2 linked regions of the Alligator mississippiensis genome follow. The protein of the gene in region 1 interacts with the protein of each later gene in a biochemical or structural test. Links are inferred from orthologs where the notes say so. Each region holds a gene or a part of one and is shown on either strand. Other genes may lie near its edges. The genes, in order: TERT and CIB1.

Region 1 (8,137 bases):
GTTGGCAGTACTACCAATTGAATTGTACTGAATACCTTTACTGAAAATAATTATTTTATTTATAGGCATTCAATACCTTCATTGATGATATCTTTGCTTTTATCATTACTATGCCAACATCTCATAGACTGGCATGTTTTAGAGATGATGTTGTGTTCCTGGTCTACCTTTACCAAAGATGGTAAGCTTTTCTCCTATGCCTCTTCTTTGATACATATTTACTATTGCTAGTTAAAATATGAAGATCCATGTAAGTACATCAACCAAAAAATAAAGAAGCAAAAATAATAGTTCAGCAAAGATTTAAAAGTTTCCCTTTTATTGCATACTAATGTATAGTATACTGTGTTTTGAAATCAAGTTAAGTCTCGAACACTTACCAGTCTTTAGATCCTTTTAGAGATCACTCAGACTTTCTTTCAGGACAGCACTTATCCCCAGCCCAATGGCTGATTCTTATTTACATAATTAGGCTTGTCTGCCTTTTAATATTTGCTTGAAAATCCCTGAAGACCAAGTAAGAAGCATGTTCTGGTAAAGCAATTCCTTCAGTAAAATCAAATCTTGCTTTCTTTAAAACAAAATTCTAGCCCTCAGGTTACAAAGATAATTTTGCAAAAATAAACCAATAGCATAATCTTCCCAAATCTGTGGATGATTCCATTGGTTTCTGCTACTCGGTTTTGCCATGCAGCAGAATAAAACTAACCATTTTCCCTGCTGTGCTTCAGACAGAACCTTGTGTTAGTAGCGAGGGTGTCAAGAATTGACTGCAGCTTCATGTTTGTTGGAGGGGGTTATCCAGAAGTAGACTCTCGAGTTATTGTTTAGAGAGTAAGTTTCGAAAAGGAGATGTGGAGAGAAACTTTTCAGTAGTAGCAGAGACCTCCCATCCCCCATTCCTACTCTCAGCCTCTTTCAGCATGCAGTGAGTACTGGAGATCATCTTAATAAGAAGGTTTTGAAGGAGACCCAAGGGGACCTTCCTTCCATCTGTTAAAGGTGGGTTGAGTTTCAGATTTGGAAGCGGAAGATTGTTCTAAAGGATTTTCTACTTGAGGACCTAATAGTGTTCATAGGCTGGCGCTCAGGAGACAAAGCAGATGATGAGCAGGAAATGCTGTTTTAGCAGACTGAGCAGCAATTGATACGGTCTTTTACTAGGGATCAACCCTGCATATAATTAATTCATATTATTTTTTCCGAAAGGCTTTATCCCGTGGATAAGAGCAGAATGAATGAATATGGAGAATGTTATGAAGAAAAGCCGAAAATCCTTAAAAAAAAATTAACATAATTCTAAACGGTTCTTTCCTTGGACTGCTACTGGCTACTTGTATTATCTGGTTTGAAGGAAGAAATAAGATTGGATTGCAAAACAAGAGTATTTTAAAGTTATGACAGGACTTCATGGACAATACATCTTCTACATTGCCAAAATCTATTTTTGATGATTCTCCAACATTTCAAAGTTCCCTTTGTTGATTCCTTGAAGAAGTCTATCAGTGTGTCTGCCAGATGTCACTCAATAGCTAGACTTTTAAATTTTTCCATGAAACTTAAATATTAATTTGTCTTTGTTGTTGTGATGACTCTCTAAATGTGTTTTTTGAAACAGCTTAGTAACTGGAAGTGTGGTGCCTGCACTGACAAGGGGATGCTAAGCCATGAAAACTACAGTAAGCCAGTGGTTAGGTTACAACAGAATTAAGTGTCACTGCAGAACCACATACACATCCAAGTGTGCCACACAAAACCATGTTCAGCTGACACAGGATATGGAAGGTTTGAAGCTGACTGACTTAAGCTATATGTAGGCTTTAAAATAAGCTCACTGCTTCAAATATTCTTCCTGGATGGAAGGGGCAAATAACCTAAATGAACAAAATATATGACAAATATTTGCCAGCCTTTAAGCCCATAATAGGACTTGTATCTTAATTTATTTTTAAAAGGCAGAGGCTTTTCAGTAAGACAAAGGAAAAAAAATCCAAAAATTCATGAGCATGTGCAGCAAATGATTTATTTTTAGTACATATCTAATGTTGCCTAAACTCTTCTTGCATTTGCTAGCACAATACCCTGCAATTTCCCATCAATATAGGTTTTTATATTGGCACGTGAGCCATTGTGGTATACCTCTTGTCTAAATACATGTTTGCATGATAGACACTGTTGTGATCTATTGTGCCAATTCTTTTTCAGGAGAAATGTTTTCTTGGTTCTCTCGATTTCTATAACATTAACATGGAAAAATAAAGCATAATGCATTCAAATAATGGGAAGGTATTTTGTTTGACCCAATAGATGCTCAGAAAATCACCTATGAAAATCAGTGCATAAAATCGTCTTTTAAAAATGTGCCTGTTAAGTTAAGCTGTTTACTAAAGTACATACTTCCAGTAGCAGCAATGTTGCTTAAAAGGCAGTTTCTGTCTAGCTGTCTATCATGTTATCAGTTTGGGTATGTGTTAATCAGATTTCAATTCAGCACTTTAGAGAATGTTTAGACTGTGCTGAAAAGAATGAACATTCAAACTGCAGACAAACAGTATGCATTTAGAGCCCCTATTTATATGGTTTTATGAAGCAAATTTCCATTTAATTGGCTATGCTTGAAAAGACTTATTGCTTCATTAGTGGCAAATAAAATGTCTGATTCTGACAAACAGGTTCACTCCTTGGCAATGCCTTTTGTTTTAAAGAATATTTGGCAACTTTTAATGAACTTAGATTTTTTTTTCTCCAAAAAATGTTGCTGGGTTTTGTGTTTTTGTTTTTTAATTACTCTGTTTTTATTGGAGTCTGTCAACTTATTTTAACTTCAAGATGCCACTAATTCAAAATGTAAATGATAAATGATGATTTGTTTCATGAAATAGCTTTTTACCATATCCTAATGTTATGGTGGTCCATAGGCACTTGTTTTGGTTGTTCACGAGAACACAGGAATATGCCTGCCTGACTTGTCTCACTGATGTAAGCAGACCCTTTTATACCAATGCAGCATAATAAAGGAGCCTAACAAGAGAGATGAATTTAACTTGTGCCCAGTTCAAGGCCTCTTTATACTGGCAGCCATATACGGGAGCTTTAACGAAAACAGAATCAGGCAGTGAGACTATCAGCAACACTGTGGCATGTCCATAAATATTGGTAGGATTGGGACTATAGTTCATATAAACCATGCATTTATTTTATCCTGATGCCAGCTACTGCTCTTTGTTATTAGAGACTTGTCTCATCTGTTTCATAATAAATGATATTTTTATGTGTTGAAAATAATTGTCCTATTAAATAATTTATTGAATGTACCCTTTTGTGACATTTTAAAATCAATTTGAGGTGACCTCTGAAAGTCTAACTTACTGTAGTCAGGTACTTTTAATATTTCAGCATTCCTTTTCTGCATGTAATTATTTGAAAATCATTCCTTAGTCTTTGTCTTGCCAGGTTTTTTTATTATCCTTTGTAACTTTCCATATGTTCCATAACTTTCCGATCGTGATAAGTGATGAATCAATCACTTCACGTGCAACGTGGCCATGCTGAGTATAAGGTTTGAGGTTTTAAGGCAACAAGGCTTTGTGAAGCTCTAATGAGTCAATAATTTGTTTTCTGCAGTCATGGTACAAATAAAGCATTTATGTCTGAGACTAACTGAGTTCTGATTTCTTATTGGAAAGGATGTGAGAGAGAATTTGTGTTACTGATGGTCGTGATGCATAGACTAAACGAAATAAACACTTTCCAATGCAGTAATCTTTTTAATAATCTTACAGAAACCATGGAGAAACATCCAAGTGAATATTTTGAGTGTTTGTGTACTTAAAAACACTCCTGCTTAAAAATATCTCAGTGTTACAGATGTGGAAGTGAGTGCCATGAATCATGCTCTCTAAACCACTGACCATTTTTGTTGCTTTCCACTGGACTCTTTCCAATTTATCCATGTTTCAAGGTGCAGTGCAGCCAACTGGATACAGTGCTCCAATTGAGCCTGCACCAGTGCTGAAAAGAGCTGGAGTTGCTTTTCTGGATGGGCAAGGGACACTCTTGTTCGTACCTAGTATGCTATTGCCTTTTTTTGCAATAAGAGCACCTTGTGGATTGATTCAGCTTGTGCACTATAATGCACCCCTTTTTTTGTAGGACAGTACCCTAACTAGTAGATTTAGATGAGAAAGTCACCATTTAGAGCAGGTTACTGCTACTTTACCACTGGTTTTTATGCCTAGTTTCCCTAGGTTTTCATTAAAGATGGCAATAATGCAGTTCTACTACCACGGTGTATGTTTTTATTAAATGCTATCTATGGCTTATCATTTCACAACCTTGCCATTGTCCTTTAGCCCCAGTGTCTTGTAAATGTGTCAGTCAATGTAGGAGAGGCCAGGATTTCTTAGGGTGTTTGTTAGTTTTCCTTGGACCAACTGTGTAGTACAGTTGGACACATTTTCGAGAACTTTTTTCCTCAGACAAAGCACGCAAGACAAAAATTGCTTTCAAAAGCTTGCCTAACTCTACTACACAGTTGGTTCAACACAAGATATTGCCCTAAAAAATACTTGCCCCTCATAACCTGGACCATCACGGCTTAAAACATCACGGACACGATCAGTAAAAGTAGGTCTTCACTGGGGCTGAGTCAGGAAGGCTCTTCCGCCCAGGAAAACACAGATCTGTTAGTGGGAGAGGTGGACAAGTTGCAGCTGGAGGCTGGTGCAATGCGCGCAGGTAGAAGCAAGGCGGCGGATGAAGAGGAGAGGCAGCACTGCAGCGCCTCACTCCACCGGCTCTTGCTTCAGATCCAGATCTAGATCTAGACCTAGCCCTCCCGGGGCCGGGTCATCCTTCGCTGGGCGCTAGGCAAGCAGACTCGCTGGCCCCGGTGCTGAGACTGGGAGGCGGTAGCCGCCACCGCCCCCACGTGCGAGTTGCCGGGCGGGAGGCTGGAGGCGGGGCTCGCACGTGTGTCCGCCCCGCCCCCTCCCGCGGCTCGCGGAGCATGAGAGGCAGGGACCGGGTCGGCCGGGGGCAGCATGGCGGGTCGTGGGCCGCTGGCGGTGCTGCGCGGCTGCTACGCGGAGACGCTGGCGCTGGAGGCCTTCGTGCAGCGGGAGCAGGTGGCGGCCGGGGTCGGGGCCGGGGCCGGGCCGGAGCTGGTGCGGCCCGCGGACCCCGCGATCTACCGCGCCTTCGCGGAGCGCCTCGTGGTGGCGGTGCCGTGGGGCGCCCGCGCCCTGCCCCGCCCGCTCTGCTTCCGCCAGGTATCCCCGGGGGCGGGCGGGCCACGGCATGGCACGGGGGGGGAGGGCGCCGCCTGCTCGCTTCTGCCCGCTGTGGCGGCCCCGGGGCCCCTGCGCCCTCGCCCGCCCTGGGCTTGGGAGAGGAGGCGGCCGCGGCGGCGGCACCCGCGCGCGCACCGGGCCCCCGCGTCCCTGCACACGTCCTGCTCCCCTCCGCGCATCCCGCCGCTTCCTCTTCACACACGCACTTGTTCTCAGTGTCCCCCTACACATGCACACGCATTGTTCCCCCTACACACGCACGCCCATTCCCCCTGCACCCCCCCTTGTTCCTCTTGCGTACCCCCCCCGATTGTTCTCCTCACACACACTCATTGTTCCCCCCCTCACACACACAGATTGTTTCCCCCTCCACACATGAGCACACAGCAGTGGGGCAGGGGGGTGTTCCAGTCCCAGGAGGGAAGGCATTTAGGCTGGGGGAAGGGAGCTGGCACTCTCCTCTCTTTTCCCCTCCCAAGAGAAGATGCTGCCCTGAGGTGGGGGCCTGGCTTGAGGATGTCCTGAGCAAGGATCCTGGTTTTCTGTGATTTTAAAGAAAAAAATTCTCAATTTTCCGTTAAAAAAGGTACACCCAAATCCATATTTTTCTGTGATTTAAAAAAAAAAAAATGTAACACCTCTATATATATATATATATATATATATATAAATGAAACACCACTATAATATATATATATATATATATATCACAGAAAATTGTGGCTTTGGGCATACCTTTTTTTTAAACTGAAAATTGGGCATTTTTTTTTAATCTGAGAGAGCCAGGATCCCTGCTCATGAGGTCTCTCCAAGTTCAAGGCACCCCGGGGTATTGCTGCAAGAGGGCTGTCCCTGCAGTTTTAAAATGAGGTTGGACCAATGATTTTCTACCAGCGTGTGGCCGTGCCCTTGGGGTGTCTTGAGATCCTCTTGGGGGTGCCACAAGGTGTCACGCAAGGCTAGCACTATCAGGTGTGCTACACAGATTCATAAGATGTACTCGGAGATTTCAGACAGGAACCCAGAGTGTCAAAAGCGTTCTGACTGGCTCTTGTCTTTCTGAGGCCTTTGGTCTATTTATAGTAAAAAAACCCCAGTGAAAACTAGGAGCTGGTATTTTTCAAGGGGGGGGACCTCAGGTCTCTTCGGGTGGGGGAGTCATGTTTCCTGAGGGGTGCCTTGAGTCTAAAAAGGTTGAGAACCACTGCTATCAGCCGTGCAAGGGTTGGGGGAAGGGATTCCTCTTTCCCTGCTGAAGTGAGAGCACAAGGTTCCTGGTCCCTAAACTGGGATTGGGTAAAACAGAAGGTTAGGTGTCCACGGCTTATTTGCTCTGCTCTTTCTCGTGAAGTAACATTTAAAAATTGAAAAGGAACAGCCTCTGTTGTAATTGGGGCTGAATAATGCAATTCTCGTGTTGCAGAAAGAGAAGGGCGATCCCTTTCTGTTGTGTTCAGTAAACAGGAGAGGAAGATTTTGCAGACTTCTCTAAGTTGCTGCATAAACAAAGCTATTCTTCTGTTGACCTGTTTGATTCTCATGAATTGAGATAATTTAATTCATGTTTCTGGAGGGATTGGTCTGTGGTATAGTAAATGCTGTAAATGCAAATTGGTAGATCCTCTGACCTGAGGATCCTGCAGTCTAAACAGACAGGATGGACTGTGGGTGAGGAGAGAGCATTATCCCAGTTCTGTGAAGGGGGAGGGAGTAAGTGACTTGCCCAAATTCTTCATCCCTGCTTTCAGGGTACAAAAGTCTGTAACATTTGAAAATGCCTGATGCAGTGTGGCATGTGCAGGCTGATCAACTTGTTTTCAAGAGTCATAATCGACAACCAGAGTCTGGGGCTAAGCACGCATGCTTTTGAAGGTGGATTTGTGGTTTGTCCCCCCAAAAAAAGTCTTAGGCAAAGTTAACTTTTTGTTTTATTTTTTCCCTTTTCAGCTCTCTGCTATGAGTGACGTTGTCAAAAGAGTTGTTCAGAGACTTTGTGAAAAAAAGAAGAAGAATGTGCTTGCGTTTGGGTATTCCTTAGCAGATGAAAACACTTCTCATTTGCTGGTTACATCTACTGTAGGTCTATGCAACTACCTTCCTAATACTTCAACAGAAGCTCTTCACACTGATGGCCTCTGGGAAACATTACTGAGCAGGATAGGGGATGACCTGATGATGTATTTGTTGGAACACTGTGCTGTCTTTATGCTAGTGCCTCCTAGCTGCTGTTACCAAATCTGTGGACTGCCTCTCTATGAACTCATTTCAAATAACTTGGAACCATCCCCAGTGTTTGTTAAGCAAGCATATTCAAAGCGTAGAAAGAATGTATTGCTTGATTATGTGCAAAAGTCTAAGTTTCGTAGGAATTACCTGTCCCAGACAAATTGGAAATGCAAGAAGAGCTCTGAAATAAGTAATGTGATGACAGGGAGGCAAAAGAGTAAAAAATCAGGAGTCCCCATGTCTAGTGATCAGCATTTTGCTACAGCTGAGGAAACTGTTGGACAGAATAGTAGGACAAGTGAACAAGACAAGATGTCAACAGGAGACCTGGGAAGTTGGAGAAGCCCTGGCTTATATCCAGCAGCTGCAGTTGCACCTTTCAAACGAAAACGTGGTGGGGACCAGCTTGAGATTTCAGTCAAAAGGGTGAAGATAACAGCAGAAGAGCTGGAGAAAGAAACTGAGAGACTTGGTTCTAATGTAGACAAAAACAAATCCCAAGTCGCTGGCTTGGGATACATAGAATCATTTCCTCAGGGGAGCGAGGGTAGTTCATCAAGAGTGCCTGCTTCTCGTCAAGCATTAGACACTCATGATAGCCAGAAGTTTGTAGCAAATAA
Region 2 (7,342 bases), on another chromosome or scaffold:
GCCAGCGGGACCCCTGCCAGAGCTGTAGCTCCCAGGCTGCTCATGGAAGGCACAAATCGGTGCTTGAGATTCACACGGAGCAGGAGGTGACAGTCTCCCAGCGAGAGATCTCTGCTCCAGTGTAGGGTGTCAGTGTTGTGCCCAGCTATGGGCTACACCTCAATCAGCACAAGAGGCAGGGAGTACACGTGGCCCTGGAGACTGCACGTCCCAGCCTGCCGTGCTCTATCCTGGGCCCGGTAGCCCCTGCTTAGATCTCCAGGCCTGAGGCTGTGAGGACAAGGGCAGCTTGAGCTGGGCTGCAGCAGAGAAAGAAGCCTGCGTCCCTCCCCCGTGCAGCAGGAGGAGCGCAGGAGGCACAGCCCGCGGGGCTGGTGTAAGGCACTAGGACAGGCGCCGGCATCGCCCATGCATTGGCTTTGGTCACGAGAAGAGGAAGGGGCCAGCTGCTGTGCAGGGCCAGCGCCGAGCTCTGCAGCAGGCTGGGGCGGGGCAGGGGGGAGATGGGCTGCAGGAGCCATCACAGCACAATCTTGAAGGAGCTGAAAGAGAAGGACCGACCGTGCTGGGCCAAGGGGAGCAGCCAGCTCATGTCTAGCACCAGCACTGGCTCCCGCAGCGCAGCCCTGGCCTCCCAGGTCGTGTCTGCTCGCAGCAGAGCAAATCCCTACATCCCTGCTGCCCACAGCTAGACAAGCTGCTCTCCCCGCACCCACAGCAGTGGAGCTTGGCAGCCAGGAAAGAGCAGGTGGGAGGCTTTACAAGGGGAGGGAAGGGTGGGCTTGGTCTCTGCCTGGGGACAGGAGAGCTACGTCCCCCACTGCCCTCTGCACAGCAGGGTGGGGGCATCAGGCTCTTGTTCAGAGCTGTGAGACACTAGCCAGAGACCTGGGGTCATGCCCAGCTCAGCAGCAGACTTCTGTGACCCCAGCCATCGCAGGCTCTGGGCCTTAGTGATAATGGGGCTACTGCCCCTTCCTCCTCTGCTCTGCCTGGTCAGGGCAGACAAGGGGCTCTTGGGCAGGGCAGCGAGGGCAGCCGTACCTAGCGAAGTCAGGAGAGCGGGAAATGACGTGCTGGAACTCCGAGAGGTTGATGGTCCCATCCTTGTCGATGTCGGACTCCTCCAGGATCTGAAAGAAAAAGAGATGTCAGCCACGAGCACCGGCAGGGCAGCACGGCCCTGCCCCCCACCCAGCCGGGGCCTGCATGCTCACGTTCTGGATGAGCTGGTCCATCTCCGAGGTGCTCAGCCGGGTCCCGTCTGCATCCCCTGTCAGGCAATTCACCAGGTTCTCCAGGTCCTTCCTGTCCAGCGTCCCGTCATCATCAAAATCTTTGTGGGGGGCGGGGAGGGGAGAAAGGGGAGAACCAGCTATGATCCCATTTCCCTGGCAATGGCCCTGTAGCTTGGAGATGGGTCAGGTTGGAGGCTCAGGGGCTCCACCCTTTGCTGGCCCTGGGCTCGCGTGGGGCTGGGCTGCAAGGCCCAGCTTGCACAGAGCAAAAGTTCCTCCTGGGCCCCTCCTTGTGCAAGCTGGACCTGGAGCAGAGCTCATCTCTGTGCCGGCCCCGTGAGCTGCATATCCCCCCTGGCCCCAGGTCTTTACCGAAGATGCGGAAGGCATAGTGGGACTTGATCTCCGAGGTGGCGGCATCACTGAAGACGCTCAGCATGTCCAGGAAGTCCTCAAAGGACAGGCTGTCGTCCCCATCCTCCGCCGTGGAGAAGACTCGGCAGATCCGGTGCTGGAACGGGTTTGCCTGGAGGCACAGAGAGGATCACTGAGAGGGCAGGAGCTCCCTGGCACAGGGCAGGGGCAATTCTGCGCTTTCAGCTGCACGTCTGGCTGGAAACAGGCTACGTGCCTCAGCAGAGTAGAGGATCACCCAAGCTCAATCAGAGACTGCACCACAGCCCTTGGAACTTGCTATGACCTGGAAATGTGCCTGGCTACAGTCCCGATGCACCCCAATCCCTCTGGAAGCTCTGACATCCCTACAGCTCAGCAGGGAAGAGGAAGCTGGCTTCCAGGCGGTGACTGGACAGTGCGGCAGGGGATGACCGGCTCCCCCCTTGCATCTGTTACCAGGCTGACCTCCAGGATGGTGAACAGGGGCTGCCCCGAGGGGCTGGGCCTGCGCCTGGGGCCAGACCCAAGCACAGCGGACTGGCCCAGCTGCCTCACAGGCTGAGGGGAGGGGCAGGCAAAGGAGTGGGGGCACGTGCCCTACCCTCAGCTCAGGCAGCGTGACGACCTTGTCCTTGGGGACCCGCGCCGACAGGATTTGATCCCTCTCCTCCTTGGGCACCAGCTCGCTGAATCTCTTGTGGGCGCTTCGAGAGACAAGAATGAGCGCTGCTCTAGGGCAGCCTGTAGTGCAGGGCCAGGCTCAGCCACAGCGGGAGCCCGCCCAGGGCAGCTGCACCCCGGGTAGGTGCACAGACACAGACCCACGTGCCAGACACTCTGGGACCGTTTCGCTGCACGCAGCTCTGTGCGGAGCTCCCCAGCGATGGGGCTGGGGCTGTGCCAGCTATCCCAGCGCAGCAAAGCAGCATGAGCCCACGCCCTGCACGGAGCCCGAGGACCTTTGCGCCGGTGCCCACAGCCCCAGGGCGGGGGGGCACAGCCCAGCCGCTCCCTGCGTCCTGCTTCCTGCTTCGCCTGCGAAGCAACGCTGGCACCACTGAAAGCAACAGCCACCGTGAGCTGCTGCCAGCTCTGCCCTGGGGCCAAGGCGTGCCAGCCCCGGACTCGGGCACAGGAGCAGGGAGAGGCGGACGGGGCTGCCACCCCGCGCCGCTCGCCCCTTTGCTCCAGCCGCTCTGGGAAGGTGCCAGCTGAGCTCTGCGCGGCAGGTGCCACGGGCCGCCCGGCCCCCGACCCGGCGTCTCGGGTTTCTGGAGCCGGGTTTGCGCAGCAGCCCGAAGGCACCTCGCCCCTCCGGCGGAGAAGCGGGCTGTGGCAGCGCGTGCGGACGCGTCCCCTGCCCGCCCCGTCCCTACTCACATCAGGATCTCCTGCTTGGTCAGGAACGTCAGCTCCTGCGGGGCGAGGAGGCAGCGTTACCCGCCGCGCCCGGCCCCGGCCCCGACCCCCGGCCCCCGGCCCCGACCCCCGCCCGGCCCCGGCACCTGGTACTCGCCGAGCAGGTCCGGCGGCACGCTGCTGGCCGAGCCCCCCATGGCAACACTGTATCCGCTGCCGCGACGTCACAGCTTCCCGGAACCTGCTCCCATGGCAACGCCCCGCTCTTAAAGGGCCCCGCGCCGGGTGAGTAGGCGCTGCTGCGGCCGGGCTCCCGCAGGACGAGGCCCGGCGCGGGCTGGCGGGAAGGGCCGCGGCTCCCGGCCCGGGGGGAACGAGTTGCCGTGCCGGAAGACGGCGGGACGAGCTTGCGGGAAACCGCGGCTCCGGGGCAGCCCGCACAGCAGGTTGGCCGGGGCTGCGGGATCCCTGCTCGGGCTGAGCCAGCTCAGCGCGCCCGGCCGCCGGCCCCAGAGGCTTGCCCGTGGAGCACTTGGGCGCGGCTCCCTCTGCAGCGTCTGGCACGATGGAGACCGGCTGCCAGGGCTGGGGGCAGCGCAGCGGGGAGGAGACGGCTCCGCTGTGGCCTGGGCAGGGGCAGGGTGGTGACCACCGTGCCAGGCTGAGCTGTGGAGCCGTCTCTGTGACCCCCGGTGCCCATCCTGCCAGGCCGCCTGCACGGGGGTGGGCTAGGGGAGCAGGCTCTCGGCAGGTGCTTTAGGAAGTGGGGCTCACCAGGGAGGGGGAGTGCTTCTCAGACGGGGGAGGGGGTTTGCTTGGGTCGCGGCAAACAATCTGACTGGCTCGTCTGTGGTCCCTGAATTCCCACGGACTTGTCCCGTTGCCTCTTTCAGAGCAGCAGCAGCGGGGGAGCAGAGCAGGTAACTCGACCGCGTCACTGCGTGCAGGCCAAGCTCCCCAGGAAATGTTGCACGCTCAGGAGCAGCCGGAGCACCCCGCTGCCTCCGGCCTGGAGGACTTTGTCTATAGCGAAGAGGACTTTGTTCTGCAGGGGGTTGGGTGGGGGAGAAGCAGGCCAGATGGGCTGGCAAGCCGCGCCGTGTCCCACTTCGACCACGCATTGCAGTCTGGCTGGGAGCGCAGGATGAAGCAGGGCTTGTTCCGGTATCCCCTGGGGGAGCTGCAGACCCGCATCTTGCCTGGCGAGATGCACTTTGTGGCCCAGCTGAACATCCAGAGGGGACTGGAGCGGAGGAAGCCACAGGACATCCAGAGCGTGAGGCAGAGGTTTGACCCGCAGCAATTCCACTTCAGTAAGATCAAGCCAGGGGAGATCCTCTTCTGCCTGACCAGGAGCCCCAGTCCCCACGTGCCAGCGGGGGGGCAGGCTCCGGCCCAGGATGGTGCTGAGCCCAGGCTCCCAGAGACGCCTAACCGTGTCCTGGTGGTGATTAATGTCAGTCCCCTGGAATTTGGGCACGTGCTTCTTATTCCAGACCCCACGCTCTGCCTGCCTCAGATTCTCACCCAGGAGCTGCTCCACTTTGGACTGGAAGCTGTTCTCCTCAGCGCTCACCCAGGTTTCCGTGTAGGCTTCAACAGCCTGGGAGCCTTGGCCTCTGTCAACCACTTGCACCTGCACGGCTTCTACCTGGACTGGGAGCTCCTAATTGAGTCGGCCCCGAGCAAGCCCCTGTGCCCTGCTCTCAACTTCCACCTGCTGCAGGGCGTGCCAGCCCCGGGGTTCCTGTTCTACGGCGAGGGGCGAGGGCTGGGGGCCTTGGCACGTGCTGCCTGCCGAGTCACCGACTACCTGGTGGAGAACGAGATTGCACACAATGTGTTTGTGACGCGGGGAACTGCCCCTGGGGAGCCAGCCCGCTCGGCAGCCCGATCTGGAGTTCGGGTGGTTGTCTGGGCCAGGAAGTCCTGCTTCGGGGCCAAGGAGGAAGCGGCATTTAACGTAGCCCTCTGTGAGCTGGCAGGGCATCTGCCAGTCAAAACCGCCCAGGACTTCCAGAGCCTGACGGAGCGCTCGGCCCTGTGCACCATCCAGAAATACCTCCTCCCGGCGCCCCAACTCTCCCGGCTCCAGGACGAGCTGGTGACGCTGCTCACGGGCTAACTGCCAGGGGGGCTCATCCCTCAGCTGTGGGGCCTGACTCGCCCAGCCCAGCCCAGCCAGCGTGCTCTGTAACTCCTGTGGAAGTGGGGGGGGCACCCCTCCGGGTGGGGGCTCGGGTGCTGCAGCCTGCAGGGAGGGAGCGGGTCTCTGCACAACTCCTGCCTCTCGATATTATTATTTTTTAAGGAAAAACAGATGACCCAAACCAAGCCAGCCAAATTAATTCCAAGTCCATGTGATTCATTCAAGAACCGCACGTGGCCCCGTGTCCCAGGAAGGGCTGGGGGGGCTGCACGTGGTGTCCTGGCAGTGGCTCGGGCACCTCTTGTAATCAGTGACTGGTGATTAGTGAGGGGGGATTGGTGCTAATTACTAAATCAGCAGGGGTCCCGGTGTTCTCTGATTTAAAAGAAACCCCCAATTTCCAGATTTAAAAGAGGAACCCAAAACCCAGTTTTCCCCGATTAAAATAAAACGCCGCTCTACATACATCCGTGTATTAGTGGTGGTGTATTTGAATCATGGAAACGTGGGTAGCTTCTGAATCCAAAAATGTGGGATTCTCTTACATGGGAGAAAACCAGGACCCCGGGGTCAGTGGCGGGGCCCGGCCTCGCGCTTGCGATCAGCCCGTAACCCGCGCTCTGCACCCGGCAGCACCCCTACCCTACCCTACCCCGCCCCGCCCCACTCCCCTCCCCGCTGGCCCACGTGCTCCCCCACTTCCGGGCCGCTGCCCGTCCAGCAAGGCATGCTGGGAGCGCTCGCGGCCTTCCCCGGGGGCGCTGGCCAATGAGGCGAGAGGAGGCGGGCGGACGCTCCGATTCTCAGCCAATTCGCAGGCGCCTATCTGTGCTTCCGCCTTGGCGCTGTTCTAGGCGGCGGGAGGGGAGGGGGCCTCTCTCTATGGTTGCTGAGGCCCCGCCCCCAACGCTTGGCTTCCTGCCGGCGGCGGAACCTCCTGTCGCCATGGAGACGGCGTCGGGGCTGGAGGGAGCCGCCCCGGGGCCTGGTGAGGCACCTCCCCCCCCGGGAGCAGGGGCGGGGCCAACCCCGTGGGCGGGGCGATGCGGGCCACGCCCTCTGTGGGTGCGATGCACGTGGCAGGAGGGGCCTGGGCTCGACGCCTGCGGGGGGAGGGGGGGCTGCCCCAGGGGAGCTGGGGGCGGTGCAGAGTCCGAGGTCTGCGCGCGGAGCCTGGCGCAACACCGCCTGAGAGCGGGACCGGATGCGACCCTTCCAACCTCGCTTTCCCTGAGACGGGAGCGGGGCGGGGTGGGTCTGCACTAGGGTGCCGTTGCTGCCGCGCGGTCTTCACCGGAGATGCGGTGCCCGCTGTGCAAGGCTCAGACCGCGCGCTGGCTCTCGGGTGTGGGAAAGAGCTGGCAATGGCGGGTGACCCAGTGGCCGGCCCTTGGCCTGGTGCGTGCGGCACACGCGGCGCTCGCAGGTCTGGCACGCTCGTGCGTCGCGTGCTGACGAGCTCGTTCCGTACAGCTCCGTAAGCGAACCCCGCGCGGGGAAGATGGCCTCCAAGGACAGCAGCGTTTCCGCGAACGAGACGGATGAGGACGAAGACGAGGAAGGGGCTCAGTCAGAGGAGTCTTCCCGGGGAAGCACCGCAGGGTGCAGCGGAGAAAGTAAAACGGCGCTTGCGGACAGCGCTCCTCAGCAGGGGGCCTTGGAGCCGAGGGACGCGGGCAAGCTGGGCTGGGGGCGGACAGCTCTGCCAGCGTCCCCGCTTGGCCCAGAAAGACGAGTGGCAGAGCACCGTGTCGTGGGGACCGAGCTGAGAAAGAGAAAGAAAAGAGTAAGGTGAGCGGCCCCGGCGCCCCTGCGCTGCCAGGCCTCTGCTTCCTGGTTCCCAGGCCAAGCAACCTGTGAGGGAGGCGCTGGAGCCCAGATGGCCGGCTGCCTCCTGCTTTCCTTTCACCGTCGGGAGCTCCCCAGCCTCCCAGACCAAAGCCCACGTGCCTCGCATGAGGTGCGGCATGCTTGTGTGTCTGTCAGAGCTACCTAGCTGGGACCCAGCGTGGCAGGCAGGGACCACGGCATGACCCATCGTCCCACTGGCCGCACCGTGCTCTTTCACAGCGGTTCGTGTGTATGCATAGCTGGTGCTTGACTGTAAGAAATGGGCCTGCAGCTGCCCAGCCACCACCACCTGCAGTTTGCATGTACTAGTTATGCCTGTGCGTTTTTGGGCAATTTCTGGCCATCTGGG

Evidence for each region.
Region 2: the proteins of TERT (region 1) and CIB1 form a complex in vitro, tested with the Homo sapiens proteins (2 studies listed by BioGRID). The link is inferred for Alligator mississippiensis from reciprocal best matches to the Homo sapiens genes TERT and CIB1.

What each region holds. Positions count from the first base shown.
Region 1 is NC_081826.1:140,165,658-140,173,794, reverse strand, and holds the start of TERT (telomerase reverse transcriptase), read left to right. Parts: upstream 1-4,857; 5' UTR 4,858-5,042; coding exon 5,043-5,270; intron 5,271-7,238; coding exon 7,239-8,137. Other genes in the region: lipid scramblase CLPTM1L, read left to right, coding at 66-181, 1,210-1,297. UniProt on the Homo sapiens protein: Telomerase is a ribonucleoprotein enzyme essential for the replication of chromosome termini in most eukaryotes. Active in progenitor and cancer cells. Inactive, or very low activity, in normal somatic cells.
Region 2 is NC_081834.1:856,230-863,571, reverse strand, and holds the start of CIB1 (calcium and integrin-binding protein 1), read right to left. Parts: upstream 3,250-7,342; 5' UTR 3,191-3,249; coding exon 3,140-3,190; intron 3,050-3,139; coding exon 3,015-3,049; intron 2,339-3,014; coding exon 2,236-2,338; intron 1,765-2,235; coding exon 1,611-1,764; intron 1,337-1,610; coding exon 1,218-1,336; intron 1,134-1,217; coding exon 1,045-1,133; intron 543-1,044; coding exon 521-542; 3' UTR 1-520. Other genes in the region: GDPGP1 (GDP-D-glucose phosphorylase 1), read left to right, coding at 3,958-5,118; tubulin polyglutamylase TTLL13, read left to right, coding at 6,644-6,933. UniProt on the Homo sapiens protein: Calcium-binding protein that plays a role in the regulation of numerous cellular processes, such as cell differentiation, cell division, cell proliferation, cell migration, thrombosis, angiogenesis, cardiac hypertrophy and apoptosis.